Linked DNA regions of Mus musculus. The protein of the gene in region 1 interacts with the protein of each later gene in a pairwise test. Links are inferred from orthologs where the notes say so. Each region holds a gene or a part of one and is shown in the gene's direction. Other genes may lie near its edges.

Region 1 (3,932 bases):
CCTTGTTAAGGAAAGCACTGTGGGGAAATGCCCCTTCTGAAATGATAAGGAACTAAGAGTAGACTCTCTGGGAAAGCCTTCTCTGGTGCTCCAGGGTTTTAGGGGGTGTCTGGAATGATCTTCTAAAGTGAGAGTGGGTTTTGTACTAGATACTGCAATGCATTTTGTTTTAATGTTATGCATTGTATTTAATGATATTTGCATCCATGTGAACTTTACAAGGCCTATTCAAAACACTCAGCAGAACAGAGCTTTGAGGATTCTTCCAGCATGTCTCTGTGACATTCTAATAGGCACTGTAGACCAAAGTGGGTTTGGCAGGGCCTTGTATGAAACCCATAGGAAGCCGAGACTGCTTGAATGAGCAGTTTAGTCAGGAAGCACTCTAGATTTTTTTTTTCCCAGCCATGATCCATGTGAGCTAAACCTATGGATGGACCCGGGCTCCCATGAGTGCAGTATACACCCAGAGGTAGAGGACCGGCTTCAGTATTCACAAAATGCAGCACAGGTGGAGGTATCCCTTGCACCCTAGACTTTGATGCTTTTTCTTAAGAGGTCAGATAAAAATCCCAAACAGTACCACATTGCCTGAGTGCCAAAGAAGCATCCTGATACCTGGAAATGGTGTGTGTTTTTAGTGGGGACATCCAGTCCTGTGGAAATCAGGTGGCCCATTTGATAAAGTGCTTTCCATTTAAAAACCCAAGTTCGATCCCTAGAAGACACACATAAAATCCAGACATGGCCCGTGTAGGCTTGTGATCATAGTACTGGGGAGGCAGAGTCAGGGGAATCTACCTTAGGGCTTCTCGACCAGGCAGCTTAGTGAAATTGCAAGTTCGAAGCCAGTGAGAAACTATGTCTTAATCAAAGTGAAAGCTATGTATGCCACAAGCCTTTAATCCCCGCACTCAGAAGACAGAGGCAGGTGGATTTCTGAGAGTTGTTAAAGGCCAGTCATGACGACATTGACTTCTAGACCAGCCTGAACTTCACAAGCAGACCCTGTCTCACGAAGGAAGGAAGGGAGGGAGGGAGGGAGGGAGGGAGGGAGGGAGGGAAGGGAGGGAAGGGAGGGAGGGAAGGGAGGGAGGGAGGGAGGGAGGGAAGGGAGGGAAGGGAGGGAGGGAAGGGAGGGAGGGAGGGACGGGAGTAGAACTCAGGGTTCCAGCTCAGACTCCAGCATATCAGCTGTAACATTTAGGATGTGGCTTAATCTCTTTGTACCTGGGATTGCTCATGTCTCAAATAAGGAGGATGGTTATCTCAACCCTGTGAGATCACAGAAGGAAAGACATTTAGAGTATTCTTCTTTCATAGAGCAATTGTATCTAAAGCCAAAGCTAAGGACTTTACAGGCAGGAGCTTGGGATAGCTTATAAAACATCTTGTGTTGCTGTCCAAGAAATATTGAATAAAAATAATTGTTACTACTGCCACACTACTTCCTGACTTCTTAGCAGTTCCAGACAATAGCAAACTGAACCTGTTTCCAGGAACCCTGAGGTAGCCCTGCAAATTTTCTAAATTGAAGACTCTGAAGGGTTTCCAGATGTGCTCTCTGCAACCTTGACTAGCAGGAATATCTCTGCCAGTGAAGTGTATCCCAAGTGTGATTACTGCTAACTGAAAACTGCCCTGTCGTAGCTCTGATGGATTCAATTCTTGCATACAGATCTTTTTGTCCCTTTAACCTATGGGCTTCTAATAATGCTGCCCCTGTGTTGTGTGCTTAGATCCCGCAGCTGGTAGCTGTCAAATCCCAGGGACCTGCCTTGACGGCCTCCCAGTCAGTACATGAGCAACCCACAAAGGGCCTGTCTGGGTTCCAGGAGGCTCTGAATGTGACCTCTCACCGGGTCGAGATGCCACGCCAGAACTCGGATCCCACCTCAGAAAACCCTCCTCTCCCCACGAGAATTGAGAAGTTTGACAGAAGCTCTTGGTTACGACAGGAAGAAGACATTCCACCAAAGGTAGCATCAGTGCTGCTGGGTGTCTGTGTCACTGCTGCCATTGCCACCATGTGCCACCATCCCATCCCTTTTACAGTTTAGAGAATTTGACTGTGCAACAACACCTTCCTTCTCACATGCGTCTCTTCCTAAGCTGAGTGTTGGCTAGTCATTAATCATTTCTGATCTTCATCTTCCCAAGGGGACAAAGACAGAGAAGTATGTCTTAAAACAGAATTATAACTCTCAACACCAAACATTCTAGGCCGTTTTGCTGTCCGCATTAGCCAACAGACTAGTGGGTATTTTCAGTGATTATTGCATTTCTTGCTAGACAAACCAAATCAATAAAAGAAAATGTGCTTACCCTTATATTTAACAACACAAAACTTGAGCAGATTTCAAGGGTTCAGAAAATGGTATGGGGGCTGGGTAGATGACTCAGTCAGTAACATGCTTGCCATACAAGCATGAGAATCTGGGTTCAGGTCCCTGGCACTCAAGTAAAAGCCAGGCATGGTGGCATGTGCATCTAAGCCTGGTGTTGAGGATGCGGAGGCAAGAAGATCCTTAGCCAAAAGAGTCTAGCTAGATTGGTGAGTTTGTGGTTCAATGAGACCCTGTTATACACACAGAAAGAGAGACAGACAGAGAGATGGAGAGACAGCAGGTTGGAGAGACAGAAACAGAGACACAAACAGAAACACAAACAGAAACAAACAGAAACAGAAACAGAGCCAGAGAGACAGAACAGAGCCAGAGAAAAGCAGAGGAAGGAGAGGGAGAGATTGAGAAAGATACCCAGCATTGACCTCTGACCTCCATAGGTGCATGCATGTGCACGCACACAGACACACACACACACACAGGGTGTCACACTCATGTATACACATGTGAAAACACACATACATGCACAGACAGGCTGGCCTTGTCTTTAAGCATTTCACTTAGCTCTTCTTAAGGAATGCTCCCTTTAGGGTAAGGGGTACTATATGTATTTGCAGACTCAATTAATTACAGAGGGTCGAACTTTTACAGAGAAATGACTAGTTTTCCTACTAGTGTTCCTACAGAACAACCCTAAGTGCTTTGGTTTTATCTCACGTTACTAAGATGATATTTGTTCTGGAATGTGGCTGTTCTGGAAAGTGTCTACAGTCAACCTGGAGGTCTTTGAAATGCTTACGATATTTTGCACCATATTCTTCCTGGTCCATGAATCTTTCCTACTGTGCTTAGCATACAGAGCAGTGACAATTGTAATGTCCTGGATTTCCAGAAAACGGTTACTACTAACTCCGTGAAAGAGAAAGTGGATTTAATGATTTACAAACTATTACCTTTTCCCTCTCAAGTGGGGTCACAACAGGATTCCCATTATTCTGACAATGAAACAGTGACTGTGCTGTTGTCTTAGTCAGGGTTTCTATTCCTGGACAAAACATCATGACCAAGAAGCAAGTTGGGGAGGAAAGTTTACTTTTCCATACTGCTGTTCATCACTGAAAGAAGTCAGGACTGGAACTCAAGCAGGTCAGGAAGCTGGAGCTGATGCAGAGGCCATGGAGGGATGTTCTTTACTGGCTTGCCTCCCCTGGCTTGCTCAGCCTGCTCTCTTATAGAACCCAAGACTCCCAGCCCAGAGATGGTCCCACCCACAAGGGGCCTTTCCCCTTAATCACTAATTGATAAAATGCCTTACAGTTGGATCTCATGGAGGCATTTCCTCAACTGAAGCTCCTTTCTCTGTGATAACTCCAGCTGTGTCAAGTTGACACAACACTAGCCAGTACAATTGACCCCTTGTCAACTTGACACACAAACACATCACTAGTAAGCCTCAACCCTTACATTCTTATTCATCCCCAAGATCTAAATAACTTTAAAAGTCCCACAGTCTTTACATATTCTTAAAATTTCAATCTCTTTAAAATATCCATCTCTTTTAAAATCCAAAGTCTTTTTACAATTAAA
Region 2 (3,932 bases), on another chromosome or scaffold:
GTAAAATATAAATGGTTGGGTAGCCTGGGCAGGTCTTTATTGGGCCTTTGGGCCAGTTCCTGTATTCTTACCTACCACTAGACCCATTGACTGTCCCTGGGGGCCTTTGGCTGTCCATCATCTTCTCTGCCAAAAGCTAAAGAGAATACATTGATCATAGCTCTACTTGATTCTTGCTAGGTCAAAAGAGACACCTTATCTATGCTTCCAATAGGAGCTTCATTTGCTTCATAGAGAAAAAAGGAGGCAAAGCCCCTGAGTACCAGATTGTGAATCAAGGTGTTGACCTACTGTCAAAGGTTTTCTTTCCTGAAACTAGAACCAGAGGTTCTTTTTTTTTTTTTTTTTTTTTTTATGCCAGAGGTTCTTTTATGTGCCTCTCAGGTGTACTGAATGTGCCAGACCTAGTAACTTGAGAGCAACCCGTTTTACAGATGAGGAAATCGAGGCCCACCTAACACCACCCAGTGACAGAGCTGAGATTAGAAGCAACCATACTTGGGATTCAAGTCCTTACTAACTTTAAGCAGCTGCACACTCAGAAGGCCTTTCCATATTGCCTTCAACTCCATCTTTCAAAGGTCCAGGAGCTTTGATGGAGTATTGACTCCCCAAGCCAGTCTAGGGAGCCTACACTCTCCGCTGCTCCATTGATCAGACCACACAGAGGTCCTGGAGGGCAAGGTCCCTGGGGGAAATGCAGCAGCTGGGACGGCAGGGAGCACAGGGAACAAGGGCCACGTGTGCCCTAAGAGGGGGCCAAGGAGAGAAGCCACAGGAAGTGTCGGGAAGGAACTGATACCTAGAGATATGATTCTGATCCCTGTCTGTCTGTCTGTCTGTCTTCACTGCTGGGCCTCCAAATTCCTGCTTTCTTTCTCTGTAAGCTCTCTCTTTCCCTCCCTCCCTCCTCCCCTCCTTCCTTCTCTCCCTCTATCTCTCCTTCCCTCTCTCTGTCTCTCTCTCCTCTGTCTCCCTTTGTCTGTCTTTCTGTGTCCCTTTCTCTGTCTTCTCTCCCCTTCACCTCTCCTGTGCCCCTTTTTACATTTCTCCTTCCTTCTCCCCTCCCTGTGTCTCTCAGAACTGCCTTCACATTCTTTACATTCCCTGTGCCTTGCTCTCGACCAGCCATGTGTCAGAGCTGGTGTGCAGTCATACAGGATGCTTGTCGGATCATAGGGACCAATTCTTCAGGCCCGAGATACAGCCCAGGCTATTGCATTTTTAACCAGCATCCCAGGTGCGAAGCTATAGCTTGTGGGCACTTAGGCCTCACCCCCTGGATCTTCTTCCTATCTCCATGATTGATGTATTCACAGCCTCCCAGCATGTGCTGGGCACGTCCATCACATGCCATCTGGCCTGCTAAGCCTGCTGCTGCTGAGAGGGGAGCCCTGCACCTGTGTGTTACTGTCTGTGACTACCCTGTGCCATGCTCAGTCCAACGACAGTTCCGTCTCCATCCTGCCTAGTCTCCAGGGAGGGTCTGTGTCTGATCCTGGTGTACCCTGGCTTGCTCTGTAGAAACCACAAGCTCCACCTCGTGACCCCACGCTTATCTTCCTTTATGGGCTGTGCTCTTAGAGAGGGATGGGGCACTCCACAGTCTAATGCACTCCATCGAGAGAACTCTGGGGTTTCTCCATTACAGGCCCCCATCTGCCAGCCTGCCTTCTGTCCCTATCAGCCCCAGGCAAGTGTCTGGAAAGAAGGCTTTAGAGAGTGAGTTGGACAAGCGTCATGCCAGGAGCAGTTAGCCTACCACTCTGGTTATCCTATGAGTGATTTCGCGGGTCTGCTTGCCCACTTACAAGCCCGACACACCCCCCTCTGCTCTCCAGTTGTTTCTGAGGCTACCTCTGGTCTAATATTGCTAGGGGCCTGGCTAGTTTGGTTTGATTTTATGTGAAAACCAACCCAGGCCCTCTGGCCGTAGACTGGGCTGGCTGAGTTCTTGGTCCCTTCCTGAGTCAAGGGAGCCAGCAGGGTGACAGAGGAGCAATGAGTCATGTTGACATGGAAATTCATCATCCCGGCCCCTCGGCTGAGTGAGTGAACTCAGCCACGTCATCTAGGAAAAGACCCTCCCCCCTCCCTCCCTCCTTCCCTCCCTCCCCCTTCCCTCCCTCCCTCCCCCTCCCTTCCTTCCTTCCTTTCTTCCTAACTCCCTTCTGTCTAGTGAGCCACTTCAGTTTCCCTAATTTAGTTTGATCCAGCTGCTGCGAGGAATAGCCCCAAATCTCTGTGGATAAGCACTCTTGACGTCTGCTTCTCACCCAGATAATATCTTAGAACTCCTGGAAACTGGCAGCCTCCCTTGTTGAAGAGCCCACCGCTTGTCTGCCCCCCTTTAAGGCCACAGAGACGGAGCAGAAAACACTTTCCTTAACCACTTCGGTCTGCTTGTCTACGTGGTTTCTGCTCGTATTCCACTGGCCAGAACTTGCTCACGTGCCTCAGCCAGATGTTAGGGAACCTGGGAAAGTGATTCAGCTTTGATCCTGGGAACCCAGGAAGACACAGACAAGCGTAGGTGATAGAAAGATGATCATGAAGCCATTTGCTTGATCTCAGTTAGGGATTCCTTGCTCTGCGTTTGTTTGTTTGTTTGTTTGTTTGTTTGTTTTTGTCCTTTTTTTTTCGGACCTTGTTACACCATGCACTAATTAGATGCCTGTTGTCTTCCACCTTCCATGCTCTGTATAAGAAGCAACGAGTTCTCTTTTTCCCTCGTTGCTGTGTCCCTGGTGCCAGGAACAGCATCCAGTGTCACCTGGGTAAATATTAGTTGGGGAAAGGAAGGAGGGGAGGAGGGGAATGGGGTAGCAGTTGAAAGAATGGTAGTTTGGTGGCATCCTAATTCTTCCACTTAGTCAATAATTTTGAGTAAACGATGTAATTAAGAGCCTCAAATTTTCCTCATTTATAAAACTGTTGAAGTCATTCTCCCCGGGCACATACATTACGTCCTGAATCGATGCAGTGTGTTAAGGCCCCTAGCTTAGTCTCTCAGGTGTGGCAGGGGCTGCACACTTCCTATAGAATTTGTATAAAACAGTCTGTGCCTATCCACTACACCGGAGCGCGTTGTTACGACCCAGTTCCTGTGCCTGTGCGCCTGGGCTGGCGAGTGCACCTATTAGGCCGTTTTTGGGAGCTGGAGCACTGCAGCCCTTTGGAGTGTTACTGTCTTGCCTCCTCTCCCTCAGGCTGAAGTTAAATAGCAAGAGGAACCAGCTGGTGCGAGAACTGGAGGAAGCCACTCGGCAGGTGGCTACCCTGCACTCCCAGTTGAAAAGGTGGGTGGCCAGGAGGTGACCCAGCTCCATGATGCCCTTCAGGATCCTCTGGTCCACCTTAGCTTGAGGAAAGACATTTAGAAGCTGGTCATTCTAGCATATGCAGGCTTGGCTAGGGTGGCTGGCCACCGGGTGCTTCATCCCTTGGCACTGTACACACAGAGATGGCCCCTAAAAGATGCCCGTGGGTCTGAAAGCATATCACATCTGCCTTCTTGCCCATGTTGATAGCAATTTCTCCTCAGTGAAATTGGGTGCCGGTCCAACTTAGGCTGTCAAGTGGGCTAGGCAGACGGATGCACATAGTTCCAGAGCCCGGTGGAGTGGCCCCTGGCCTCCTCACTCCGTGTTATCTCTCTCCTTTCCCTGTCCCCAGCCTCTCAAGCAGCATGCAGTCCCTGTCTTCAGGCAGTAGCCCTGGGTCACTCACCTCCAGCCGGGGCTCCCTGGCCGCCTCTAGCCTGGACTCCTCCACCTCAGCCAGCTTCACTGACCTCTATTATGACCCGTTCGAGCAGTTGGACTCGGAGCTCCAGAGCAAGGTGGAGCTGCTGTTCCTGGAGGGTGCCACGGGCTTCCGGCCCTCAGGCTGCATCACCACCATCCACGAGGATGAGGTGGCCAAGACCCAGA
Region 3 (3,932 bases), on another chromosome or scaffold:
TAGTAGGTTTGGTAGTGGCCGCTGGATTCTTTCCCTCTAACCCAATGTATTCTATTCTGGAAGCCAGGACATGGGGTTTGGGGGCAGCAATCTGCTCAGCCTTCCAACGGCCTCAGGCTAGCCCCCTCCTCTTCCCTAGCTCTCAGCTTTCAGCTTTTAGCCTTTATGCCTTTTCACTTGCCAAATGATTATTGAGCACCTACTGTGGACTAGGGCTTAAAGCTCAGCAGTGGGGGGCAAGAGCCAGCAAGCCCCTTAGAGCACACCTGCCTAAAGCACATTACTAGACAATTCCAAAGGCAGGTGACAAGGGCCACAGTGAGGGAAGCAGAGAGCATGTAGATGTCTGACCAAAACCCAGTATGGAAAACTTCCAGAATGAAATGGGCTATAAGTTTAATGGCAAATGGAGAACATTCCAGGCAGAGAGCATGCTTGGAGGTAAGATTGTGTTGAGAGCCTGGGGCAATGAAGGAGGCTCTGTTGGTACCCACATTTCATCTCTGAGCTCCCTCTGAGGGGTTTGATATGGCTTGTTCAGGACTCCAAAGTGCTCTGCAATGGAAGGTGATCATAGGTCCCCACTCCAGCTCTCACTTGTACCCTTCTGTCCTCTGCCTCTCCCCAAGTGCTGTGATTTGGGCTTTCACGCCAGCCTGGCCCGCACTTTTCGGACCTACCTCTCAGCAGAATATAACCTGGAGACCTCTCGCCATGAGGGTCTGGACGTCATAGAGAATGCAGTGGACAACCTGGACTCCCGGAGTGACAAGCACACAGTCATGGATATGTGCAGCCAGGTCTTTTGCCCTCCACTCAAGTTTGAGTTCCAGCCCCACATGGGGGATGAGGTAGGCTTCCTGCCAGAATCCTACGTAATGAGTCCAGTTTCCATTACCATATGAAAGTACCTGAACCTGAATACGCAGTGGTTCTCAACCCGTGTGTCATGACCCCTTAAGGGTTCACCAATTCTCTCACAGAGGTCCCCTAAGACCATCTTACTTATCCGATATTTGCATTAGAAGTCCTAACAGGAGCAAATTACAGTTGTGAAGTAGCAATGAAGATAATTTTATGGTGGGTGGGGTCACCGTGACATGAGGAACTGTATTCAAGTTGCACCATCCAGAAGGTTGAGAACCATTGAGCTAGAGGCCTCTTCGGTTTAGATACAGGAAAGCTAGGAGTTCTAAAAGCATGGTGCTGGTATCTGCTTGTCAACTTGTGAAGACTGTCCTGGTGTAAAATGACATGGATACCATTCTGCAAGGCAGAACAAACATGTAGCTCGGGTCGGTCTTTCTTTTGCTTCTGATAAAGCCACTACTGCTGCTGTGGCAGCACCTTGTCGAAACCTAGTCACTTCCTGGCAGCCCCACTTCTGAATCCCATTTTCACAGGACTTTGAGAATGAGTTTCCCATGCCTCAAATTTGGGAGAAGGGCGTGTTAACATCATAGCTACTACTTCTGTTCTCTTCCATGCTCCTAGTGCATTGTGGGAGGAGAAAAAGCCCGAGCACATAGGCCGTTATTTACCTCGGTGGCCTAGGGTCAGCTCTTAACTCATGAGCTTCTTCGGATGATCTCCTTGTCTTGTTTGCTAACGTCCCCTACCTACAGAATTGTAGGACCTTGGCTTTCCTTAGACCCCTCTCCTAGGTGTGTTTAGGAAACTTCAAGGATGCTCCAGTCTTCCTAGAAATAGTCTCCTATATCCTTGGACCTGAGATGGCCTCATCTGACACCCCTTCCAATACTGTGAGCCTCTGATGCACCAGACAATTGACTTTTCTTCCATGCTTGTGCTGTCCAGACCCTAACTGAGGTCTGGAGAGGAAAACAAACAAAGTCACAGGTAGTAACAGCTTTGGAAGGGAAGACCTTGAAAGAATAGTGCAGCCACTCTTTGTTTCTGTGGGTGACTGCTTCCAGGACACTGGTGATATCTGAATTCAAGGGTACTGAAGCTCCTCACATAAGAACACTATTCAAAGAACTTGTGCGTATCCTCCTGTATACTTGAAATCGCCTCTGCATTACTTAGCATACCTAACACTATGCAACTGTTGTGCACGGTTGTGTTGTATTGCTTAGGGGGCAATAAGAAAATGCCTGCCTACATTCAGTCCAGAGATTTTTTCCCCCTCCTATATATACTTTCTGTCCTTGGTTGGCTGAATTTGTGGACATGCAGTTTGTAGACAAGACAGACCAACAATGTGATTGTCACAATTGTCTCCGGTGCATCTTTACTCATTCCTAACAGTGACAGGAGCACTTGTCAACTGCTTCTGGTTCACTGTGCTCACTACTGTCTGTCCAAGCAGTTACTTTCATTCCACAACTCCCTGCCTTGCAACTGATTAGTCTGGCTTGCTAAGATTATGTTAAAGGTCTCTTCAAGCCCACAGTGACTGTGCAAATATGACTGAAGAACCACGCTGGCGACAGCAGGAGGGTAGACGCTAGAGTAAGAGGACCCTAGTTCCCATCTGGTACTGCCTTTGCCGTCCGTGTCCAACACGGGTAACCCAGGGCAGACTCCTTGGCCTTGCTGGACCTGTGTCCTGGGCTCTGGATGGAATGTTAATGATAGCCCCCACCCTGGCTCCACAGATCTGCAATGACAGAGTTCCTTTCTGCAGGTCTGCCAGGTCAGTGCACAGCAGCCTGTCCAGACAGAGCTGCTCATGCGGTACCACCAGCTGCAGTCCAGGCTGGCCACTCTCAAGATTGAGAATGAAGAGGTGAGTGAGCTGCTACCCTGTGTCTAGTTTCTTTGGGCTTGTGCAGTGGAGTCTCATGCCCTGGACTGTATAGAAAATGATGGCTCATTGGTGGGAGACTATACAACCGCACAGCCCACCTGCACTAAGAATATTTAGTGCCCTAAAGGATGCTTACAAGACCTCACGTGAAAGGGAAACAAGAGAAAGCCGGACTCTATGTTTAGAACGATTGCAGATTTGCAGGCTTAGAATGCTTGGGAAAATGTTTTGAACTGTGAGCCTTGGCTCCATCTCAGCTGTAGAGTGATTGATAGTTACTAATGAGTTCATGCTTTTCTGCCTCACTCTCTGCTGTAAGTTTGGGTTGTCATCATCAGGAGTCAGAGTTAATATTTAAAATCACACAATGAAATAGGTAGTCCAGGCCACCCTAAATGTATTGTGGATTTTCAAACCCCAGGGAGTGGGTCAGCCTCACCAGTCCAGGGTTCCTCCCATATTGCTGAGTGGCACAGTATCACACTGTGCCGACCCATTCGGACATAGACTGAAGAAGCCAGGCAGGCAGTGTCAGAGGAAAGATGTCAGCCAACCCTGGGGCCCTGGAGAAAAGACCCCAGGATGTGGGCAGTGCCATTAAAGGTGGTGTGCAGTCAAGGTGTAAGGTGAGGAGGCCACTGTCTTCAAATGTCATGAAGGCTATCCTGGACAATAGGGACAGTTGTGCTTGGAATCGCTATAGAGGGCAGAGCTAGGACAGAGCTGAGCTGACATAAATCGAAGCAGGCCTGGGAAAGGTCACACGAAGACAAACCAACTTGTTTTTTTAAACCTGGCAAGACATATACAGCAGGCAGACAGAATGCGTCCTTTCTTTCTGCTTATCTTCTGTCTCCCCACCACCACCTCAAAGGATGTTTAATGGTTTACATGTATAATGCCATTAATGAAATTTAAATGGAAATCAGGGCCACAGGGAGGAGACAGAGGCACACAGCCCTCTCTGTGAGCTGTGGATGGGCTTGGATATGCTTATCCTCGAATCAGCTTCCTGTCAGTCTATGTTGGAAAAAATCTTTGATTTTGATGTATTCACTCATTTATCCATTCAACAAGTATTTATTTATGTGGTATTTATTCACATAATACATGCTAAACATTATTCTAGATAGAGAGTAAATTAAGGGAACACGGCCTC
Region 4 (4,694 bases), on another chromosome or scaffold:
GCTTAATAAAATGTGTGTTATTACTAGTAATATTTTAATACCATTACTTGTTTTATAATCTAAATTTCTAAATTTGTAATCTAAATTTCTTTTTAAAAAAGATTTGTTTCATTTATTTTACCTGCATGTATGACTGTGTGAGAGTATCAGAACCCCTGGAACTGGAGTTACAGATAGTCGTGAGCTGCTATATGGAAGCTGGGAATTGAACTCAGGTCCTCTCAAAGAGCAGTCAGTGCTCTTAACCGCTGAGCCACCTCTCCAGTCCCCAGTAAATTTCTTTTTAAAATTTTATTTGTATATTTTGGAGTTTGGGTTATTAGTAAACAAGTCTGAACACAAGCTTCTTAAATGGTATTTGTTTGTAGCACTAGCATAAAAACATCAGTGTGTTATCTACTCCTGTTTTGCCTTCTCCTGTGTTGGGGGAGAACTTGCCAAGCCATGCCAACTGAAGAAAGTGGTGTTCTGTATCTTATAAACTTGAGTTAGACAAAATGGGTACCGAAGGAACTGACATGATTTATTGACATTATTGAAATGATTATAGAAATAAAAGAAGTTGCTTGTTTACTCAATGTGACTGTTTAAGAATTATACCGAGGGGGGAAAAAAAACAAACCAGCTATAATGGTGGTAGAGCTTGCTACTAGACGCTCTAGAATTGTCATTGAAAGTGAAGCCTCATTTAGGCAAAATGTGTATTTCTAAACGTTGCATAGAAGCATGCATAGGTTTTTTGAAGCAAACAATATGTGAAACATTATGTTTGCAATTTGTCACTAACTTTAAGTCCTGTTATTACTCTTCCGTTCTTATATAAGAACGACTGAACACAAAATGACATCATGTAAAATAGATGTCGGGGACCTTGTGTTGAAGGAGGTGGCCGACAACTGAAGCAGAGCCTGGGAAGAGGCACGTGTGGGTTCTGGAGGCTGGAGCCTCTTGCAGTTGACATCTCTGACTTCCCGGGTTCCTTTTATCACCCAGGGTAGATCCGACAGCACGAGCCATCTAGTCTCCTATGGGCGTCTCTGGCTAGATCCTGACTCCCATCTGCGGAAGCCCACATCCCGTGTTCTCCGCAGGGTCCGGAGGAGTCACCTCGGGAGCCAACTCAGCAGCCGCGAGGGCGACAGAGAGAACAGTCAGGACTCCCATTGTCACCCCAGCAGTTCTGCGGCGTCCCCTCCCCCCTGGTGGCGAGGAGAGCTTGGGACAGGGGTGCTATAGTACCCTCCTCCGCCACCCCGGGTTGTCCGTTCAACTGGTGGGGCGACCCGTCTCGCTGACTCTCCTGGAAGGCCACTGGGAGCCACTCTCCTGCCGCCGCCGCACCTGACTGCCTAACTGACCCCGGGGCTGGGCGAGCCTCCAGCTGCAGCGGCTGGCTCCGGGGCTCCAGGCGCTGCCGCACACGCCCTCCCGGCGCGGCTCCGGCCGAGTGCGACCCCCGGGGCGGGAAGGCGGGAGCGCGAGCAGCCCACACCTGGCCCGCGAGTCTGCTAGAAGTCGGGCGGCGGCCACGCGCGCTGGCCCACGCACGCGCACAGGGCTCGCGCGCACCGGCTGCCGGCCCTGGGGGCGGGACCGCGCGGCGGCGAGCGGGGCGGGGGGCTCGTGGAGCGCGCGCCCCGCACCCGAGGGCTGCGGAGAGATATTTTGGGTGGCAGGAGGCCCCTCGTCATTTCCGCCGGGCGGCTCGTCGTGCCGGGGGCTCCACTCCCGCGCGCCAGGCGAGCGAGCGGGCAAGTTGGCTGCGACCGTGCGCCGGCGCCTCTTCCTTTCCCCGCCGCGACCTCGGCGGCTCGAGCCATGCACTGAAGCCCCTCGGGACGCTCACCCCGGGCTGAGCCGCGGACGCCGCAGCTGCGGCTGCCGCCTGGGCTGGGACCTAGCCGACCCCGGCGTCTTACCCCGGCCAGCTGGCCGGCCGTCGCCGCTCCCACCGCAGCCACCTCCGACGCTCCAGCCTTGGGACCGAAACACAAAAGCCACCCTCTCCGCGCCGCCCACCGCGGGAGGCTGCGGCCGGCCACCGACCCCACCTGAGGGCGCAGCGGGCTGCGGACTTGGCTTTCTGTCCGAGCTCCGCGTCCCACGCGGCACCGACCCCGCCGCCCATGGCTCTGATAATGGAACCGGTGAGCAAATGGTCTCCGAGTCAAGTAGTGGACTGGATGAAAGGTAATGCCCTCTGTGGGGAGAGCGAGGCGACACTGGGGCGCAGGGTCCCGGTACGAGGGAGGGGTGCCCGCTAGGGCATAACACGTCCTGGGAGCTTCCAACCAACTGCTGAGGGTCCTCCCTGGGGATGGACAGGGGTCCTCTGGCTCTGGCAGGGGCCCGGGGACCCTAGACTTCTTTTGTCTTCAGCTGGAGGGGCGCGGGGAGCAAGAGGGCGGCGGGCGCCACCTGGTTGAAGCTGGAAGCAGGGCGGTGGAATCCCCGCGCAGCTTCCCCGCTTCCCGCTTCCCTCGACGCCTTCGGGTTGAGAGGACGCGGCGACCCTGTTTCCAGGCTAAGGGAGGAGCCCGTGGGACCTATTCTCGTGGCTGCCCCTTCACCAGCCCCTTTGTTCCTGGAAACCCGAGGCCCCTTCTAGGTCTCGCCCTGCCAAGTGCCTTCCCCAGCGCCAACTCTCCTGGCAACTTTTAAGCCCGCATAATGGGGTCAGGATGCAGTCGCTCCAGTTGGAAGGTGGGAACCCCCTCCTCCATGCTGGGCTGAGGATGATCGGGAAGGGAGCGAGCTACTTTAGGGTAACATGCTTCCCTTAGGGCAGCATCCAAGCTAATATATGTGGGATCCCTCCTGTGCACCCCAGCATGTCCTTTGCTTTCCTAGGTTGAGGTCTGCGGTGGCTTTAAACCTCTCGCGGCTTCTTGTTAAGGGTCCAACATTGGGTTTAAAGTGATGCGCATTCAAGTATTCTCCTTTCTTCCATATTGAAGGCTCCCCCACACACACACCCGACAATTTCTAATGACCAGTTTCAAACCTTAGCCCTCCTCCTAGACGCAAATGTGGGCTTTTTCTCTAGTCTCCTGGCTTTCCTGTCTCACTATCTCCCTCTGTTGTCTGAGTTGAGGGGCTTGTTGGGGACCTCTCCAGTCATCCCCAGACTGAACTCTGCAAAGGGGATGCTTACATTGAAATAAAAGATTCTTGGACATGCTTGGAAAATATGAGAGTTTTGCTTGAGGTCGTACCCGAGCAGGCAAACTTAAGATATTCTTCAAGCCTTATCTGTGAAAATGCCCCTTTCAAAGAGGAAGGAGCCCCTTTCCTAAGGCTTGCTTAGCAGTCAGACTTTCTAAGCTCTATATACTCAAAGATGGAAGGGATTGAAGGTAGTAGGGAGAAATAAATTCTCCCCGAATCTTTCCCCCACCATTTCGGACATTTGCCTATTCTTCTAGGGTTTCTCTTTATGTGTTTTGCTTCCTTTTCTCCCTGATTTGCCCTGTTACTTCTCACTTACTTTGATTTTCTCATCTCATATGTAAGAAAAATGCTTTGTAACTGCGAAGCACACTGTAAGTGCAAGTGAATTGAATTAAACCTAATTCATTATTTATCCACTGCCCCTTGTGTGCAGTGCATTGGTTGCCATGGGGGTTATAAAGATGACTAAGACAAAGTCTAACAGTGCCTCATCTTTTCTGCTGCTTGTTCTCTTTCCATATTTGCTATTAAAATTCCAGCTTCCTGGATTCACACACACGCGCACACACACACACACACACACACACACACACACACACACGCCTCAGGAAAATTCTGTCTTTTCAGTTTCTTAGTCATGGATGACAGAGTAGTCACAGGAAGTAAGAATGTTGAATTAAAACGCTTTCTTTGAATTTCTCTGAAAGGTGAGTTTAGTTTGGGTCTGTTGCTGCAACAACATTCAGACTTATGGTGTCTTGGCTTCATGGGATTGCCTTCTAGAAATTCCCATGATGCCTGTAATGAGCACTGCATACTCCATCTTCTTTACCTCGTACCCAGTTACATGCTTGCGGCTTCCTTTCTCTCCACTGTTTTAGGTTCCCTGAAGCAAGCACAGCATATGATGTCCTTTAAAAATCTCTCCAGTGCAAAATGTAGTTTCTTTGAACTTTGGAAAAGATTATTTCCTGTAATTTTAACTTTACATGATATTTAAGTTGAATAACTTGTTTTTTGTACCTGTTGGTGACACATTTTATAGTTACCTAAGAAGATCAGTTAGGTAACCAAGATAGAATTTACATGCCTTTGTAGAACAAAAGACTGAATAAGACTAGGAGAGTATCTGCTTTAATTATCAAGTTCAGGTCCCAGTTAGCTGCTTAGTCCTAAACTGCTTATTGTTAAATTTTCTGTGATAGTCATATACATTTCAGATCCTATCAGAAAATGAGATTTCTAAAAATAGTTGGAGGAGATGAGAATTTCCTCAACTTGCTCTTTATAGTGTTACCTTAGTTAATTTTCTCTACTATTTTTCCCAGTAAACTTTAAAAAATGACATTTAAAAGATAGTTTTTCACTTTCCTCAGTAACAGAAATGTTGGAAAGACGACTACCAATTTAGCCTATAGCTTTGAGTTGATTAGACCTTGCTTAATGATTTTTAAATATATAGTGTTATAAAGTCAGTATTAAGGCATGAACAACATTTTATTGTTTGTTTGTTTGAAAAGGGA
Region 5 (3,932 bases), on another chromosome or scaffold:
GCAACCAGTGGCCTGCAAACAGCCTTGTGGGGAATAGTTATCACATTCTTGTGAGATGAACCTTTGAAACTCTCATTTATGTATTCAATGAGTTTATTCCCCCACTCTTTCCTGGGATGTTCTGAAGCCTTCGGGGTTACCATAATTACTTTTCTTTGTCTGGAGCCTCTATTGAAATACTGACCATACAAAAGCAGAGGGTGTGGGAGAGAGCTGCATGTTTGATGCTGTCCTTGTGCATCTGCAACAAGGCATTATTAGCTGATCAGGGAATGGTGGAGTAAGAAAAAGAAACTTGAGCAGGTGGTGATTCAAGCAGACGCCTTTGATTAGGGCACAGATGACTAAGTCCCCATGCCTGTTGTTGTACCAAGTTATTATCTTCTGTTGCACCTAACAGTCATTTATTTCTCGTTCCTTGTCATTTTCCCCAGTGTGATCCCACACCAATAGAGAGAAAAAACAAAGTGAATGAAATAATGGAAATAGTTATATAAAAATATGAGTCACGCACTGACTCTAGACATTGGCAATCTTTAGATTTCAGTACCAAACCATAACACAGTGCCATGCAGATGATGCTGGGGCAGTAGTTTTGGATACACAGCTATCTGTCTTTGCTTAGACATCCTACGCTCGTCTTGAGGATCGCTCCATTTAATTGTCCGTTGTTCCACTGTCTCGTCAGGCAAATTGGAGACAATCTGATTGTCCCCGGAGGTGTGAAGACCATCGAGGCCAACGGGAAGATGGTGATCCCTGGAGGCATTGACGTCCATACCCACTTCCAGATGCCTTACAAGGGAATGACCACAGTGGACGATTTCTTCCAAGGGACAAAGGCTGCCTTAGCGGGAGGCACCACCATGATCAGTACGTTCTCTCGTACTGCCCAGCCCTGTGGGTTTGAGAAAGGTGTCAAACACTGCCCTCTGAAAATACGGAAATTATACACACTTCTCTCAGTTTGGTTCATGGAAGCTATGTGACCCTGGGTGTGGGAAAAGCAGGAAAACTGCCAACTTCCTGTAGTTACACAAAGGACGTCCATGAACTTAATGTTACTGAAAACAACCAGAGAAAGATATGTCTGAAAGAATGATCATTGAGACTGACAGTTCTTGGGAGATTAGTGGGTCTCGGTGGATTTAGTGCTATTGGGTCTTTGCTATATTCTGACCAATTTGTATCTTTAAGATTAGGAAAGCTGTGAGCGGTTTCTTTTATTTTTCTTTTCTTTTGCTTCTGGTAATTACTAATTCCAGAGAAACTTGGGAAATTGCATGTTATTGGAGTACAGAACTGATAGTATTTCAGGCAGTCCTTCCTGTTCCAAGGAATCTCAATGAATTGGGTACTGGCCCAGAGTTAGCCTCAAACTCAGACACAGCACTATTTACTTAACAGCTTATTCTTCTACCCACAGGCACAGAGCAGCCTGAGCCAGAATTACAGTCTGTCTTGACCTTCCTTTTGACTGAACCACTAGCAGGGTTCAACTTTAGCAAGGCCATAAAAGGTGCAGTCCAGGGAGGCCTGAGCCTTTCCCCGCAACTGATAAAAGGAAGCCAGCTGACTTCTCAGCAGCTTTCTGCCCAGGAAAGCCCTGGTGTCCTTGAAGACAGTATTGATGTAGCTGGATGCATTATGCTTTCCCATCAGTGCACTCGGGCTCTGTTGACAGAGGAAATGCGTGGTTCTTGCTTTGGTTTGGCTGGCTGCCATCTGGGCCAGGAACTGGGCCTGTTCTGCATGCTTGTAAAGTCTTGTCTACTTGGTCTTTCTCCATGAGCAAAGGAGCAGAGAGCAGATGGGAGGTTTAGGCGAAGAATAAAGCTTACAAGGAGCCACAGATGCATTCTTGCCCTTTATTGATAACTTAGAAACTCTAGATGTGTGCAAGGCAAAGGATCCACGTAACCCTATTCACTGCTGGAGTTTCTTACTATGGCAGTTTCCAAGTTCACAGCAGGATCCTAGTATCTGTGCCATATTTAAAGCTGTGATTTTTTTTTTTCCACTAAGTGGTGGATCACGAATGTTGCTCCAGGCAGTCATTTGCTCACATTCTACCTCAGCTTTTAAAATGGGTGTCTCTCGTCACTCTGTGAAAAGTGTCTCTATGTTTTAAACTAAACTTCTCAATTTTTTTCAACCTCGGCCACTTTCGATTTTTCATTTTCGTAAATGCATCAGCGTACAGTCTAGATACTAAATGCTGCTGACAGCTACAACTTATCTTCCTAGGCATGAGGCTTAGGCATGAGAGTAAATTGAGTCTGGTCTGGAAAATGTCCAGAGTTTTGATATATATTTCGATGTCGTCCTCCCAAAAGCTGAACCAATTTCACACTTTAACTCAGCTACCCGTTGTGGCCCAGGTGAGGGTAGAGCTTTTGCTAAATCCCTACTATAACAACCACAATGATTATTTTTTTAAAATACAAATATAATTTTACTTAATATCATTTCTCTTAATTTAGGCATGGTGTGTTTTGTTTGTTTTGAGATATTAGGATCTTGCTACACAGGCTAGGCTGGTTTTGAGCTTTTAGTGAGCCACCCAGGTGTTGGGATCACTACCATGCCTCCATTACTGTTTTAACTTTTTTTCTTTTTTACTTATTCACTTTACACCCTGCTCACTGCCCCTCTTCCTGGTCACCCCCTCCCACAGTCCTTCCAATGGAGTGATAGAGACACCAACCCACTCACCAAACTCTAAACCCAAAATTTATCCTGTCTACAAGAAATGCAGGGACTGAGGATCGAGCAGAGACTGAGGGAAAGGCCAACCAACAATCAGCCCAACTTAAGACCCATCCCATGGGCAAGCACCAATCTCCAAGACTATTAATGATACTGTGGTATGCTTAAGACAGGAGACTAACATGACTGTCCTCTGAGAGGCTCCACCCAGCAGCTGATTCAAACAGATGCAGACATACCCACAATTATTTTAAAAATATGTATCATCCATGGTTGCAGAGAAAAGTGGGTTTGAATTCAGAGAAACTTATTCTTGTTAGCAAGTTCATGGGCTTTGGTTACTCATGCCTGCTATACATCTAGAACTTCTTCTTCTATCCAGGGAAGAGAACACAACTTTGGCCATTAATAGTGACTCAGAGCCAGTAGTCACAACATAAAAATAGCAGGTAGTCATGAGGAGTTAACACTTAATATGCGCCAGGTATCAGTGAAGCACCTTATATATGCATTTTGCACTTAGTCATATGGAAAACTCAGACGGAAAAATACAATCATAACGTGTTCCCCATCTACTCTACACCCATTTTTAAGAAAAGAAAACTGAGGTTTCAGAAAGCTACTAATTTGTTCCAAGTCCCCGAGTTAACCAAGCTGGAAGGAGCAGGAATAGAGACAGGGAGACCAAACTGTTTCCGAGTCACCCATTTTGCCCTCTGTCCTTCAGTTGACCACGTGGTACCTGAACCTGAGTCTAGCCTGACAGAGGCCTATGAAAAGTGGCGTGAGTGGGCCGATGGGAAGAGCTGCTGTGACTATGCTTTGCATGTGGACATCACCCACTGGAATGACAGCGTCAAGCAGGAGGTACAGAGCCTCAGCAAGGAAAAAGGTGAGTCAAAGCACGCGCTCCAGCCTCGTCTCTCTGCTGCCTTGTCTGCGTCTCCCACAACATCCCGCCCGCTCGTGGGAGTCACTCCTCGAGTTCCGAGTCTCGTCCCTTAAGCATGAGGGCTGTGTGAGGGACTTTTACTTTGTTCCAGGCACTTTCCTTTTTCTCTATGTAACTTTACTTTTTGTAGGATCTTCGTGGGATAAATATTGTTCGTCACTTTGAAGCTGAAAAAGCGGGGTATCGGGATAACTGCTTGAGGTGACATTTCGTAGGCAACAGATCTACACAAGGATGAGGCTTTTCACCTCCATGGATAGCTTAGGGTTTT
Region 6 (3,932 bases), on another chromosome or scaffold:
CTTGCCCAGCACCAAAGCACTATTAAAGACTTGCAGGCACAGCTAGACGTAAAAGCCACGGACGCTCGTGAGAAGGAGGAGCAGATATGTTTACTGAAGGAAGACCTTGATCGGCAGAATAAAAAGTTTGAATGTTTAAAAGGCGAGATGGAAGTCAGGAAGAGCAAGATGGAGAAAAAGGAGTGTGACTTAGAGACTGCGTTAAAGACTCAGACAGCAAGGGTCGTTGAATTAGAAGACTGCGTTACTCAGAGGAAAAAAGAAGTTGAGTCCCTAAATGAAACACTTAAGAATTACAACCAGCAGAGGGACACTGAGCACAGTGGGCTGGTTCAGAGACTTCAGCACTTGGAAGAGTTGGGAGAAGAGAAAGACAACAAGGTTAGGGAGGCTGAAGAGACCGTCCTGAGACTACGAGAGCACGTGTCCTCGCTGGAAGCTGAACTTGGAACTGTGAAGAAGGAACTAGAACATGTAAATTCAAGTGTGAAAAGCAGAGATGGGGAGCTGAAAGCTTTAGAAGACAAACTTGAGTTAGAAAGTGCTGCAAAAGTGGAGCTGAAGAGGAAGGCCGAGCAGAAGATCGCTGCCATCAGGAAGCAGCTCTTGTCTCAGATGGAAGAGAAAACCCAGCGGTATGCGAAGGACACAGAGAACCGACTGAGTGAGCTGAGTGCACAATTAAAAGAAAGAGAAAAGCAAGTTCACAGCCTAGAAGACAAACTTAAAAACCTGGAGAGTTCTCCACACCCAGAAGTGCCAGCGGTGTCCAGATCTATGCAAAGTGTGGCAGCGTCTCCCGAGCAAGAGGCTCCAGATTCCCAGGACTGCACACACAAGGCCTGTAAAGAAAGACTCTGCATGCTGCAAAGACGTTTAAGTGAAAAAGAGAAGCTGCTGCGCAGGCTGGAGCAGGGCGAAGGCGAGGCGAGGCCATCGCAGCCTGAGGCTCAGCACAGGGCGCTCTCTGGAAAGTTAGACTGCACTAGAGCCAGGCAGCTTGAAGATCACGTTTTGATAGGATGTCTTCCAGAAGAACTCGAAGAAAAGATGAAATGTTCCTTAATTGTGTCTCAGCCCATGGGAGAAGAAACTGGTAACAACACAGGGGTGAAGCAGAATTGGGCAAGTGTGGTTGACAGTGTTCAGAAAACCCTCCAGGAAAAGGAGCTCACTTGCCAGGCCCTAGAGCAAAGGGTGAAAGAACTGGAGTCGGACTTAGTAAGAGAGAGGGGCGCCCATAGACTTGAAGTGGAAAAGTTGACCTTAAAATATGAAAAATCGCAATCTTCCCAGCAAGAAATGGATGGGGAAAATAAATGTGTAGAAGTGTTGGAAGACAGGCCTGAGGAAAACTCCCAATCCCATGAGATCCAGTCAAACGTGGGGACCGTGGACGGCCTGCGCAGCGACCTGGAGTCCAAGTTGACAGGAGCGGAGCGGGACAAGCAGAAGCTGAGCAAGGAGGTGGCGAGGCTGCAGAAGGAGCTGCGAGCTCTGCGGAGGGAGCACCAGCAGGAGCTGGACATCCTGAAGAGGGAGTGCGAGCAGGAGGCCGAGGAAAAGCTCAAGTAAGTGCTGTGCCCATGTGCCTGCGTGCGTGCGTGTGTGCGGTGTATCGTATAGACACTTTTACCTGCCCAAAGTGTTCCATAAGCCTCGTAAGTTAAGTACTGAGGAGAAATGATCATTTTGGCCTGGATACAGTGTCATTCCATGTTCGTTTAGGGGACATGGCTCCTCTTGCAGGTAAGATCACAGCTGCTGGCTGCGCGTCTGGAGTAACGATCTCATTGCTGTTCTCTTAGTCGTAGCCTTGTGACTGTAGCATGCAGGTCTAGGGGAGAAGTTTACAGTAGGAAGGAACAGTTCTCCAGAGCCCAGGTTAGTGCTGAGGGTAGTTATAGTTCATCAGTCTCACTTTGTATGCGCTGTTCTCTTTACACACACACATACACACACACACACACACACATACACACACACTCAGAGTGGTTTCCCCAGCAGTGAAGTCCCATTCTTCTGAAGCCTGGTCCCTGTTTGCTCTGTGGAGGCAGCAGCAGTCACCGCTGTCCACTCTTGTTCTCAGACAGGAGCAAGAGGATCTTGAGTTGAAGCACACGTCCACACTGAAGCAGCTGATGCGGGAGTTTAACACACAACTGGCACAGAAGGAGCAGGAGCTGGAAAGAACTGTCCAGGAGACCATTGGTAAGCACAGCTTTGAGCTCGGCAGGGACACCACCCTCAGGGAGCCCACAGTTGAAGCTTACTCTCCTTTCCCATGTGGTAGGTGCTGTGTGTCATTAAACTCAGGGAAAACGGTCCTTGTCCAGAAAGTGCACTTGTCCTCCTGAACGTCCTCTAACCTGCCTCGCCATCACTCACTGGCCTTTGGCGAGAAGCAGCGCCTCCCCACGCCTGCTCTGCTGCATTTCATCAGCATTAATTTGAAATGAGAAGTTCCTATTGCCGTTGGCATATAGTCACAAACATGATTTCTCATTTATGTCCCTTTTCTTTTATTAGATAAGGCCCAAGAGGTGGAAGCCGAACTTCTGGAAAGCCACCAAGAAGAGACACAGCAGTTGCATAGAAAGATCGCGGAGAAAGAGGATGATCTGAGAAGGACAGCCAGGAGATACGAGGAGATACTCGATGTACCTTGGTTTCCTTCTCTTTTGAAGTGTAGCAGTGTTTTACGGTAGCGCTGAATATTCTGGCTTCTCACATGGAGAGACGTCTTTGAGAAGCTAAAGTGAGGCTTTGTGCTTGGGTTAAGTCTGGGAGCAAGTGCAGCCTGTGTCTGAGGCGGCTCACCCTAGCCATAGTCTTCCCAGGACAGTAGCCAACCTCCTTCCTCGCCACTCGCTGCAGAATTTGATGGTCCAGGGTGGACTGTATAGGAAAAGGAGATTTATCAGCTAAGTGTTTTGTGTTCAGTAGATGCTGTTTCAGAGTATGTAATACAGTGGCATTGCAGTAGCAGAGTAAAAGAGACCACAAACGAGGGTCAGAACTTGGACCCCATGGATGTTTTCAGACACAGCACTGTCACTTATTCTCTGTTGGCGTATTACGTAAGATAACCTTACTGCGTCACACGCCGGGAGACACTTGTTGTTCCAGAAGAGCCGTACTTCAGCTGCGTCAGCACTGCATGTGAGGGAGGGATAGATGGTGACAGTCATTGTTTTAAATGTAATCAAATTGAGTGAAATTTCAGGATATGGAATGCCACCTTTGTGCAGTGTGCAAGGTTTAAATCTCATTAGGAAAATTAAAATAATTGCACATTTTCTTAGGCTTTCAGAGTATATTTGTGCTGAGTTTTTAAAAATACAGCCAGGGAGCTGGAGTGATGGCTCAGTGGTTAAGAGCTCTGACTGCTCCTGCAGAGCGAGCATCCAGGTTCAGTTCCCAGCGCCTATGTGGTGGCTCACAGCTAACTGTAACTCCAGTTCCAGAGCACCCGGTGTTCTCTTCTGTGCTCTGTGGGCACTGCACATGCATGGTACACATAAATTCATGGGCATTTCAATGCACATGGTACATCTGGTCTCATGTAGACACATAGATAATAAATGCATTTTTAACAATCCCATTGAGGTGTTGGTGCCTATGATCCTGGCACACTTCAGGAGCTGGGTTAGGAGCATCAGGAGTTCAAGGCCAGCCCTGGGCATAAGACTTTGTCTCAATATAAATAAATACAGTCACTTTTTGACTCCTTATGGAATTTTTTATGGTCTAGTATATCTAGTATACCTGATAAACATAGTTTAGTTCTGTCTTCTGGTATTTGTTACTGTGCTTTTGTTTTCTTTTGTTTTTATACAGAAGGGAAGGCAGCCTTAGTTAAATGATTTGCCTAACACTATCTATTGAGTTCTAGAATAAAGATTCGTCATTACCTTCACATATTTCATAAA
Region 7 (3,932 bases), on another chromosome or scaffold:
CCACAGATGGCCTGGTTAGCCAGGTTCTAGTCAGAGAGGCCACAGGCCTGAGGAGGGCAGCAGTGTGCAAACCCCCCTTCCCCCCACCCCCCCAATTGGCCTGATGACCATTTTTTCTTTTCTCTTTTTTTTCTCTTTTTTCATCTTTGGGGCTATTTTTTGTTTTTTGTTTTTTGGTTTTTGGTTTTTTTTTTTTTTGGAGACAGGATTTCTCTGTGTAGCCTGGCTGTCCTAGAACTCACTCTGTAGTGCTGGGATTAAAGGCATGTGCCACCACTGCCCAGCCTGATGGCCATTTTTCTAGTCTCCTTGTTTGTCCTGGTGTGAGTGGGATATGTGCCCCCACCCCACCCGCACCCTGCCATACACACCTATACGGTACTGTGTGAATGTTTCTCCTGAGGAGGGCAGGTCAGAGGTCATGAACCCATGAGGACCCCACAAGGGAACAGAGACAGCCTGCTGCTGCACCCAGGGAAGGAAACAGATGTTGCTGCTCATTAAAAATTCAATCAGCAGCCTGTCTCCCTCAATTAATCGTGGCTGGCTGTCTGTGGGGAGCAGGAGGGCTTGTGGTAGACTCTGTGAGAATGGAGGCGGGGAGGTACGGTGCTAAGCTGTCCTCACTCTGCACACACAGGGTTAAGTGGTGGTACAGCCACGACCCCTCCCCTCGGGGCTTACATATGCTCTGGTGATGCTAGCTGCTGACCCTGGGGATAACCACAAGGAGCCGGTAGAATGGCTGGCAGGCCTGTATCCAGAGACAATCAGTGTTACTATGCTGGCTACCATGAGCCTTTCAGTCACACCATGGGTTCAGCCATATCATCCAGAGGACCTCGTGTCCCTAGTGAGTGCCACTGTCTGCCTTGTGTTGGGCTTCTCCTGCAGTAGTGAGGGAAGGGCCTCAAAGTTGTACCAGGAGGCTCCTGGCCCTCAGTCTCCCCTCTGCTCCGTGGCTCCCTGACTTTGCCTCTCTGCCTTGCCCTGAGGATTCCTCCCTAGTCACAGGTGACAGGCATGCAGGGCTGTTGGGTCTGGTTTCTCCAGGCTGTGTGGTGCTGCTGTGACTGTTTATACAGAAAATCAGTCCGTGAGGCGGGGTCTCCCCAGCCCAGCCCAGCCCAGCCCAACTCAACTGCCGCCTCTCACTTCCTGCCTGAAGGGAGCCTCTCCTGGGGTCTCAAAGCCTAAATATGTGCAAGGGTCCCCCACGTAGGTCCATATCAGCTGCCAGCAGTGTCCACATAGCTACGGGCACTGCTGGAATCTAGGGAGCAGCTCTGTCCTGAGGTGCAGGTCCCCAGGGTGTGTGTGTGTCCTGACTCTATGACCACCCTGTTTTGCCTATAGGAGGTGGGAGTTCCTACCCTGCAGATGCCCTCACATGCCTCATCTTGGGATTCAGCAGTCTGGTGTCTAAGGCTTCCCTGACATTGTTGAGTTCCTTCTAGAGCTGAGCCAGACCCTGTAGACCTTGGTCCAGACCTGCTCATAGGAGGCTTTCTCCCTAAATACCCCTTTTATGCTTTCTTTGATTAAAAAAAAAAATTAGGGGGAGGATGTTTCTAGAATATGGCTCCCCAAAACCTAACTCTTCTTCCCGCAGGACTCTGGCTCACGAGGCAGCAGCAGTGGTCGGGAGCGCCTATTGGTGGAGCCACCTCTCGCCCAGGAAAAGGCTGCGGGCCCCGCCATCCCCTCCCACCTACTCAGCACCCCGTACCCCTTTGGCCTTTCCCCCGGCTCAGTTGTACAGGACTCCCGCTTCCAACCACTCAAGTAAGTGCCAGCCTGGGGTCAGGGAAGGCACAGGGGTGGCTCCAGACAGACCTGAGAGTTTGCACTGGCAGAGGTAGATAGAATGCCATTAGTCTCAGTGGCCTGATCTGCCCTGAGGTCCTTGGCCCCATCTGACCTTGTGGTCCAGCCTTTGTTGAGACAGACTTATCAGGTGTCCTAAACACATTTAAGCCCATCCTCTGGGTCTGGGGAACAGAGAGCCCCTCCAGCATCTCTATCCACTCGTGGGGACCTTGAGGGACAGGCAGCTTCCCATCTGTGCAGTCTGGGCTTCATGCCAGGCTGTACCTCACTGAGAGGCAGGACCTGAGCCTGGTGAGGGAGTGTGGCACATTACCTCTGCTCCCCACTTCCCCCTCCCACAGCCTCCAGCGGCCTGTGCACCATGTGGTGCCCCCCAGCACGGTGACTGAGGACTACTTGAGAAGCTTCCGGCCCTACCACACTGCTGAAGACTTACGCATGTCCTCCTTGCCTCCGCTTGGCCTGGACCCAGCCACCGCCGCAGCCTACTATCACCCCAGCTACCTGGCCCCACACCCATTCCCCCACCCGGCCTTCAGGTGAGGCGTCCCCACTCACGCTGCCCTGTGTGCTAATCTGTTCTCAGCAAGGCAGAACCTCTCGGGGCGGGCGTTTGCCAGGGCTTGGGGTCCAGGCACTCAAGGGAGCTATATAGCTTTCCCCAGCTCGACTGAGTTGAGTCTTGATGGATGGACTCAGTACCACCTGCTGATGCTCCTTGGTTCCCACTTCTCAGCATCTGCACCCCAGCAGCCAGTCCCCACTAACAGTGTGTGGTACCTAGACAGTGTGATGGAGACTCCGGAGTGAGAGTCAGGCCATGCCCTCCCTCTTCCTGTAGAAGCTCCTGGCCTCTTACCACAGCGGGTCACACCAGAGGTCTCTGCCTGCAGCCAGTCTGCCCTCCCGCTCGCTCACCCATGGTCCGGGAGGTCCTAGGCGCCCATGTGGTCTGTTCCTTGTGGCCCCAGACAGTGGACATGCTCTTTGCATGCAGTCTCTGCAGGGCTGAGCCTGAGTGAGCAGTGGCTCGCCCAGCCGAGAGGCGCCGGCTCACCTGCCTGGGTCCCGGCCTTTCTCCTGCAGTGCCAGGGATTCACCTGAGGGCTTCGCATCTGCTAGGCAAGCTTATCCTTTGTGGCTCCTGCACACACCAGTCCTGCCTCTCTGTCTACAGGATGGATGACTCCTATTGCCTGTCAGCCTTAAGGTCTCCGTTCTACCCCATCCCCACCCCTGGCTCCCTGCCTCCACTGCATCCGTCGGCGATGCACCTGCATCTCTCCGGCGTACGGTATCCTCCTGAGCTCTCCCACTCGTCCCTGGCGGCGCTACACTCGGAGCGGATGTCCAGCCTCAGTGCAGAGAGGTAAGCTGTGTTTTCAGCAGAGGTGGGGTGGAGGGGACTGTTGAGCGTTCCTGAGGTCCTCAGCGGGGCCTGGCTTGGTGGTGGCGGGATGCGGTTCTTTGTGTGTAGGTGGCAACTCTTGCATGTGGCTGCTCCACTTTGAGCTGGGGCGTGGACTTGCCCCCCCTGCACATCCCTTTAGCACGCTGCCCTGTTTTCCCTCCCAGGTTGCAAATGGACGAGGAACTGCGGCGGGAGAGAGAGCGAGAGCGGGAACGGGAACGGGAGGCCGACCGGGAGCGGGAGAAGGAGCGGGAGCGGGAGCAGCGGGAGAAGGAGCGGGAGAAGGAGCTGGAGCGCGAGCGGGAGAAGGAACGGGAGCGCGAGCTGGAGCGGCAGCGGGAGCAGCGGGCGAGGGAGAAGGAGCTGCTGGCTGCCAAGGCCTTAGAGCCCACCACCTTCCTGCCTGTGGCCGAGCTGCACGGACTCCGAGGTCACAGCACGGAGGAGCGGCCCAAGCCCTCGGAGCAGCTGACCCCAACCCGAGCAGGTACCTGGGCTGAGCTGTGTGGAGGGAATGGCCTGTGCCTGCCCCAGCAGTAAGGAGGTGCCATCCCAACGCTGGCGAGACTGGGAGGAGGTGTGCTCTGTCACCCTGGGTGGATCCAGGATCCCATGGGTGCCCCCAGAACAGCCAAGACGCTAGGGAGGGGAGTTGCCATCACTGCGGTAGAACCTTGGTTGGTCTCTGCCT

What was found.
Region 2: the proteins of Tnik (region 1) and Wwc1 interact in a two-hybrid assay, tested with the Homo sapiens proteins (2 studies listed by BioGRID and IntAct). The link is inferred for Mus musculus from reciprocal best matches to the Homo sapiens genes TNIK and WWC1.
Region 3: the proteins of Tnik (region 1) and Srgap3 interact in a two-hybrid assay, tested with the Homo sapiens proteins (2 studies listed by BioGRID and IntAct). The link is inferred for Mus musculus from reciprocal best matches to the Homo sapiens genes TNIK and SRGAP3.
Region 4: the proteins of Tnik (region 1) and Cnksr2 interact in a two-hybrid assay, tested with the Homo sapiens proteins (2 studies listed by BioGRID and IntAct). The link is inferred for Mus musculus from reciprocal best matches to the Homo sapiens genes TNIK and CNKSR2.
Region 5: the proteins of Tnik (region 1) and Dpysl3 interact in a two-hybrid assay, tested with the Homo sapiens proteins (2 studies listed by BioGRID and IntAct). The link is inferred for Mus musculus from reciprocal best matches to the Homo sapiens genes TNIK and DPYSL3.
Region 6: the proteins of Tnik (region 1) and Golga4 interact in a two-hybrid assay, tested with the Homo sapiens proteins (2 studies listed by BioGRID and IntAct). The link is inferred for Mus musculus from reciprocal best matches to the Homo sapiens genes TNIK and GOLGA4.
Region 7: the proteins of Tnik (region 1) and Gse1 interact in a two-hybrid assay, tested with the Homo sapiens proteins (2 studies listed by BioGRID and IntAct). The link is inferred for Mus musculus from reciprocal best matches to the Homo sapiens genes TNIK and GSE1.

Annotation. Positions count from the first base shown.
Region 1 is NC_000069.6:28,605,399-28,609,330, forward strand, and holds part of Tnik (traf2 and NCK-interacting protein kinase), read left to right. Parts: intron 1-1,739; coding exon 1,740-1,979; intron 1,980-3,932. UniProt on the Homo sapiens protein: Serine/threonine kinase that acts as an essential activator of the Wnt signaling pathway. Recruited to promoters of Wnt target genes and required to activate their expression. May act by phosphorylating TCF4/TCF7L2.
Region 2 is NC_000077.6:35,875,896-35,879,827, reverse strand, and holds part of Wwc1 (protein KIBRA), read left to right. Parts: intron 1-3,209; coding exon 3,210-3,299; intron 3,300-3,675; coding exon 3,676-3,932. UniProt on the Homo sapiens protein: Regulator of the Hippo signaling pathway, also known as the Salvador-Warts-Hippo (SWH) pathway.
Region 3 is NC_000072.6:112,772,418-112,776,349, reverse strand, and holds part of Srgap3 (SLIT-ROBO Rho GTPase-activating protein 3), read left to right. Parts: intron 1-629; coding exon 630-851; intron 852-2,650; coding exon 2,651-2,752; intron 2,753-3,932. UniProt on the Homo sapiens protein: GTPase-activating protein for RAC1 and perhaps Cdc42, but not for RhoA small GTPase. May attenuate RAC1 signaling in neurons.
Region 4 is NC_000086.7:158,040,273-158,044,966, reverse strand, and holds the start of Cnksr2 (connector enhancer of kinase suppressor of ras 2), read left to right. Parts: upstream 1-1,769; 5' UTR 1,770-2,126; coding exon 2,127-2,190; intron 2,191-4,694.
Region 5 is NC_000084.6:43,357,903-43,361,834, reverse strand, and holds part of Dpysl3 (dihydropyrimidinase-related protein 3 CRMP4b), read left to right. Parts: intron 1-688; coding exon 689-873; intron 874-3,436; coding exon 3,437-3,601; intron 3,602-3,932.
Region 6 is NC_000075.6:118,558,213-118,562,144, forward strand, and holds part of Golga4 (golgin subfamily A member 4), read left to right. Parts: coding exon 1-1,571; intron 1,572-2,089; coding exon 2,090-2,211; intron 2,212-2,529; coding exon 2,530-2,660; intron 2,661-3,932. UniProt on the Homo sapiens protein: Involved in vesicular trafficking at the Golgi apparatus level. May play a role in delivery of transport vesicles containing GPI-linked proteins from the trans-Golgi network through its interaction with MACF1. Involved in endosome-to-Golgi trafficking.
Region 7 is NC_000074.6:120,564,756-120,568,687, forward strand, and holds part of Gse1 (genetic suppressor element 1), read left to right. Parts: intron 1-1,612; coding exon 1,613-1,785; intron 1,786-2,171; coding exon 2,172-2,369; intron 2,370-3,007; coding exon 3,008-3,199; intron 3,200-3,405; coding exon 3,406-3,728; intron 3,729-3,932.